2 linked regions of the Drosophila melanogaster genome follow. The protein of the gene in region 2 interacts with the protein of the main gene of each other region in a pairwise test. Each region holds a gene or a part of one and is shown on either strand. Other genes may lie near its edges.

Region 1 (3,760 bases), on a different chromosome or scaffold from region 2:
ATAAAGGCTAAAAATATGTTTAGTTCAGTCTCGAATAAATAAAAAAATGATTGCCTACATTTGGGATACCTTTTAGTATTTAAAGCGGCGTATACTTGATATTATTGCGCATACGCAGCGCGTTTATTCTTAAGCTGGTGAACCATAAAATGTTGATAAATGTTATGGGTGAATAACGTTTCTTTTAAATTCTATCAAATGTTGAAGGGGAAAAATATATTCGTATGCCATTTTAGTACTTAGCGCGGCGTATACTTGATAATATTGCGCATACGTAATGTGATGGGTCTCCGTTAAAATATCGTCTATAACTAGCAAGATAATTGCTGAATAGTAAAGACTTTAGCTTAGTCCAATAAAAATATGTTTCTTCCCACTGTGCGGCATTGTCATTGGCAGTTCGAGTGGGCCGTAACCGTGTCCGTATTCGTATTCGCATCCGTATCCGTGTCCGTGTCCGTGGCTGTGCACCCGCCGATTTCGGAAAGACAAACTGTGAGGCTGAGTGCAAGTCGCGCCCGCCAAAACACCCGTAACTCCCACGGCCCAGATCTCCGCCACCCTCGCAGCTGTGTTTGCGCCGTGAAAGTGAAACTGCGACGCACGGCAGAGCCGGGAGTTTGCAGCCGGAGCCGTTGTTGTATCCGCAACCGGAGTCGCCGAAATGCCATATTCGTGGCCGTGGCCGTGGCCATGACCCGTCGTCTGTGCTGCGCCGTGCATTCTGTATTCCATTCCGTATTCCGTATTCCGTATTTCGTATTTCGGGGCCGGGGCCGACACACAATGCACGTACACAAGATTCGGGGAAATTCGGAAACGCGGTCATATGATGTCGATGACGTTATGTCGGCTGACTCCGCATTTCAATGCAGGCACATTAAATGCTGATTTATTGCCCGATTGTGTGCGCATTAAGTAGCCGGCATTCTGACGAAAGTGCATTTCCTGATTTAAGAAGTTCGTCAGACTTTCGAGAGTGGAATATATCTAACAAAATGGGTGTGTGTTTTTGGGGAAAAAATGTATTTTGACAAGAGAAACTTTAAAGTAATCCTTTTCATTAAATTTTAAAATAAAAAATTTTAAATTCCTTAATCCTTTTTTTACACTTTGATTCAGTCGAAAATTGATGTTTTTATTTTTTTAAAAACATTTTAGGATTTTTTTTTTTAATATTTGGAGATGCTTACAGAAATTAATCAGTCATCAAAAAGTTTTATTGTTAATAATTGTTGTCTAAGCAGAAAGGTTAAGATTATAATTCTTAAATGTGTATAGAGTATCTGATGGACACATTAGACACACTACTGAACTTCTTGTTTTAATAGTTTCGCTCCCAATAGTTTTTTGCACAGTGTACACCAATAAGGAATCGCCACGAGTCATTTAATAAACTAAACTTTGGCACTTACATTTGTGTGCTTCACAAAATGACCATTTGCTGGATTAATTTCCCTTAAGTGATTTGCATGTACGAAAAGTGCTATGTACTCACAGTTTTTCAGTTGCTCATCGCTTTATTCACATTTGCCGGCTCTTTGGCTGAAAAGCACGTTAGGAACATGCTAAATACAGGTTGCAAAACACTAGGCAGACACACGATTTCACGCGATTTTGTTGACGTTGAGCGTCGAATTGGTCGCGTGAAAGTAACAACGCGACGTAAATCGCAGCGCGGCAACGAATACAAGTGCAAAATTTAATGCCGGATTTGATTCAATTTGTTTCGATTTGATGCGATTGGACCGGATAACGTAGTGTCGGCGCTGACGTTATAAAGTTAACTGATTGAAAGTGCGTTCGTCCGGCGCCTAAAATTGTGTAGAGTTTGGTGACGAAGAGCCGATACTCGGCACCAATACATATGCCGAAAGTAGCAAGCCATACCAATACCGTGGCACATTCGGTGGACTAGCAGTTTGGTCAAATGTTTGCCGGCGGCAGACAATTATTTACTCTTTAAATTGCCGACAACGGCGACACACACATCAGTGCGAATATATGTATGTGCACATACACACACACACACACACATACGCAGGAATAACACTCCTCCCTCTCTCGAACACATACACGGGCACCTATGCCGGCTACTCGCTTTCGCTTTTGTATTTGTTCTCTCGCCGGCTTAGTGCCGAAGGCTCCCCTCAACACCGCCCCCCTTTTTTATAACCTTACATCTAGTGCTGAAATCCCCTTGTATCCTCCCTTTCGTCACTACTCATCTCACTTTGGTTAACTTCGGCACCTTTCGGGTTTCTCTCTCACACTAGGATGCTGTGCTCTCTGGAATTCGTGTCTCTCTCTTTCTCTCTTTAGTGCATATTCTCTCATTGCAACTTTCAGTGTCCCGTTAGTTAATTTGAGCGCTCGCCTTCAGGTATGCAACAGTTTTTTTCAAACGCATTTTTAATAGGCATTTTTGCCTGCATCAAATCTAACAAAACCTACTAAAATACTGCAGTACATAAGAATTTACATAAGTGCTCTTATGTGTTTATGTGATTTACATATATGAATGTGCACAAAAAGCACTCTTTGTTTAGCTTTAAGGGCGGTCTTCAAATCACTGCGTTTGATTCGTTTTTTTGATGGGTATGGTATGTGTTAAACTTTAGTAAGGATGATATATGTATACATGAATTTCTTTACCTATCTGCATACAAGCAATTAAATTCTGAAATTGATTTATTTTTCTCAAGGAGCTCAACGATGAGTGCACATTCTTCCTTCCCATGTTTATACAATGCCATATCTTAAAATGACCACGAAGAAATCATTTTTATGTAAAGAAAATGAATTATTGTTTATATTTATTTATTATTCTATATTCCTACAGATGTACGAGTAGATATATGAATATTGAAATATTATAGACGAAAGCCACAGAAGCTTAGGTCGAATCTTTCTTTTGTCTACAGCGAACAATAATAATAATAATATTATTTATTAATTGTTGAAATAAACAATGAGTCATTCAAATGAATTTTGTGTCGAAAAAGGAGGATGACTATTTGGTTTGCATTTGGTGGTTTGAACTTTATTACTGCAATAAGCAGTATTTTAAAAATAATTCACTTTTAATATTTGAGAAGAATTCATAATTGAAGCCAAAAATATGCTTTGTTTTCAATGCAATTATACAAATCGTATATTTAACAGCTATTACTTATATTCAATTCATTGCCCTTTTAAAGTGCCGCAATCTGTACATTTACTATAAAATCAATATTCTTATGTAAAAAAAAAAACGGGCACAGGACCGACTTTTGTCTAAGGCCCTTAAACTTCTGTATGCACAATTTGTGCCAACTGCAAAAACGGACCAGCAGAAGTGTAGCCCAATAGAAACTAAATCTAAACAACACCGGAACACCCCGGCAAGGTCACATCGACACCCCCAAAAAACAAATGGGGAACCGAAAACTAGCCAAAAACTAAAAGTGAATCGAGCCAAACGATTCGGAGTGGTCCAACCATTTCTGGTGGTATGGAAAAAAAGGGGAGCATTACCCGGCAGGCAGGCGGAGCACTGCCGAGCGCCAAAAATTCATTCATAAAATTCTAAAACGCGCTAAAATCTAAAATTCTAAACAAAACCGGTCGGCAGTCGGCCGAGTGTGCGGAGTTGGTAGTTTAGAGTTGGAGTTGGGTGGTATAGTTGGCAGATTGGCTGGAGGAGGCCTTCTGAGGAGAACTCATACGACCGGTGGTCCTCTGCCACTTGCTGCATGCCCCGCCATTGGGCAACTGTGTG
Region 2 (3,100 bases):
TTGCTGTGACTTCTAGCTTCGATGGATTGGTGAACTCGGTATTTTTGGCCTCCAAATGGGTGACTATAACATCGAATACGAAAACGGGGATGGGCTCTTTCTTTGGCTTCACCTTTTCAGGTGGTGGTTGGTCTTCTGGTTTAGTTTCTGCAATAGCTACAGCAACGGACTTCTTTTTGGGTCCCATCTCGATATCTTAAATTTCTACTGTCTGTCTGGGCTTTCTTTTATGGAGGAACTAGTCTGAGTCATTAATGTTCCAATTATAATGATTTTTTTTTACTTTAGATTTTTGAAATAGTATCTTACGACTTACTACACTAAACTTTACAATAAAACTGAGGTAGACAGTGTTCTGAATATAAAAACAAGCCCAACTCTGACCAGTTTCAAATGCAAAATGACTACCAAACACTTATGACAGAGATCAAGGCATGTTTCGTTTACTTTTGGAATTCATAATGAGTACTTCCAGTTATTCGATTCCATTTGCTTATCTTTCTGAACAACGTTCTCAATGCAAAATCTGCGGCAAGCCCTCTAAATGCTGAACTGGTTTTCTGTTGTTTCCCCAAATCTTAAAATCACAATATGTTTTCGATAAATCGAATATTTTATTAGGATATGCTGTACTGAAGGTGTTGAACAAACACTTCGTTTCTTTCCATCAAGGTCTGCATTGCGCTCCTTGTAGGATTCAGATAAGTTTTCAGCCAGAATGACCATGAACACCATGTCCCACAACTGGACCATGGCCTACAACTGGACCATGGCCTACAACTGGACCGTGTCCAACAGGACCAGCGTGTCCCACAGGTCCGTGGCCAGCATTGACTGGGTGTCCTCCGTGTCCTACAGGAACATGGCGCAGATCACCGGGAGTTGCCTGGACGGTAGCCAGGGCAATGAGGAGGAAGGCACACAGAGCAAAGAACTTCATCGTTTCAAAATTTGATACACTTTGAGGTGCTGGAAGATCTTATATACCTAATATCGTAACCGTTTACAGTTATCTTTTTTTTTATAATTTTTCGTTATTTTTTGGGTCACAAAACACTAAATTATACGAAATGTATTTCAATATATAGGTTGCCCGTTAATTAGCGATTATGAACAGGTGCGATCATTGAATACCGGTCATTCTTGTTATTTCTGCATTTGTTTGTGCAAACAAGTTTAATTATATTATTTATGGCAACTGTGCTTTGTATAAAAAATATCCAAATTTTTAAAGCCTATATTTAGGCTTTTAAGTAAATGTAAAATAGGCTTGCTGCTGAATTTGATTTATTAATACTCGACGTCGAATTGCAGATGTAAAATAATCTGTGTGTTTGTGAGATTTCATGCAACTAATCGGATCCTCCGATTAATTGCAAAATGTCCAGGAATATGTTCATTACATCCATGTAAATATTTAGGGCAGCGAATATGTACTCCTCGGGACTAATGGAGTACCTATGCTTGCCTCCCATCATCAATTGTGTATCGTAAACTAAATAAACGGAGAAGAGCAGAGCGCTCAATGAGGCATATATGGTGGTGACCATATGTCCGCCCACGAAGATGGTCACAATTCCAAAGAAGAGCAGTATTATCAGGCAGCTCACCAGGAGGCCACCCATGACGGTAAAGTCGTAACGCGTCTGCAGAGCAAAAAGGGTGAGTCCAAGGCAAACTGACGCCGTGATTAGCACGGCCATGAAAATCTCCATTGGGGCATAACGACAGGCTGCCACGCCCAGCAGAAAGGACTCGGCTATCGTGAAGGCAGATAGGAAGATGAAGTTAGCTGGGGTCTGACGACGCAGATCCTCATTGCAGCCCAGAGCCACCAGAGAGAAGACCACTATTAGTATGGCCACCACAAATATCCAGGTGCTTTCTGCCACCATCAGACGCACCCGTTTATCAGCAGTAAGTGAAACTATAACCACCAGGGAAGTGATCAGTTGGGCCAACAGGATGAGGTACACCTTCCGGATGAATCCTCGCCGGATGCTGGCGCTGCAGAATCCCAAGCCCTTGTCTGGATCATCCTGTCCGATTTCCGATCCGTAAGCTGTATATCTTCCCAGCGGAATACACTCCGCCTGGTGGCTCCGATTTCCATACTGATGTACTGGTTCTTGTAAAATATCCAGCATTGTGTCCTTCGAACACAACTTTCAAGTAACTGCTAATTCTTAATTTAATAACCTTTGTCGGAAATTGAAGTATAGTATGACAGAAGAGTCAACGTTAAATGGAATTTACTTCTTAGAAACTATAAATCTTCTTTTCATAATTAGTAACTATCATAAACATAACTTTAACTTCATTTCTTTAGAATTCGAAAATTCACAATATTATAATATTATAATAATATATATCCAATACTGTCTTCCGTCTTATATACATTTGCAGTAATGCGTATTTATTAAATTCAAACAACAATTTTATGTAAAGATTTAAATATGTGACTAATTTGAGCAAAAACGGACTTACGGATAACTAAATGACTATATGGCTATATACACTCTGCTGTTAATACTTATTATTTATACATATTTTAAATGGTTGCAAATGTACCCCTTAGTGCGTTGCAAACTTCTGTCTGAAATCATTATACCCTCTGCAAGGGCATACAAATAAATACAACAAATTCTGCTGCTAAATAGAATATTTATTCCAATATTCAAGTAGCTTTCGTGAAATTATAAATTATCCAGCAGTTTTCTTAAGGTTCCCTTCAGAGATCGCACTGGTCTCAGGAGAACTATTGGCCTGGACGGCAGCCAGGATGAGGAGCAAAAAGGCGCACAGAGCGAAGATCTTCATTTTGGTAACTTTAATGAATACAGTCTAACAGTTGGCATGGCGCTTTTATACTACCGTTTGCAGTCGATTGAGACCAGTTTATAATTTCTATATAATTAGCATATTTAATCAAATTCTTATGCTCGTATTAATAGAATTTTAGCAATACTTTGAAAACAAGTTGGATTGCGTCATTAACAATCACAAAAAATGTGCTCCCTAATATAAAATAAAATTATTTATAATACTATTATACTAATTCCTATAATTCCAAACGGCTGCCATTGTAGCTTAAGAGAAA

What was found.
Region 1: the proteins of CG42500 (region 2) and CG7368 interact in a two-hybrid assay, tested with the Drosophila melanogaster proteins (one large-scale study listed by BioGRID).

The regions. Positions count from the first base shown.
Region 1 is NT_037436.4:11,595,198-11,598,957, reverse strand, and holds the start of CG7368 (uncharacterized protein), read right to left. Parts: upstream 1,757-3,760; 5' UTR 1,499-1,756; intron 947-1,498; exon of another isoform or gene 137-946; intron 1-136.
Region 2 is NT_033777.3:14,151,613-14,154,712, forward strand, and holds CG42500 (uncharacterized protein), read right to left. Parts: upstream 1,039-3,100; 5' UTR 941-1,038; coding exon 710-940; 3' UTR 599-709; downstream 1-598. Other genes in the region: CG14355 (uncharacterized protein), read right to left, coding at 1-187; Recs1, read right to left, coding at 1,353-2,147; CG44215 (uncharacterized protein), read right to left, coding at 2,704-2,820.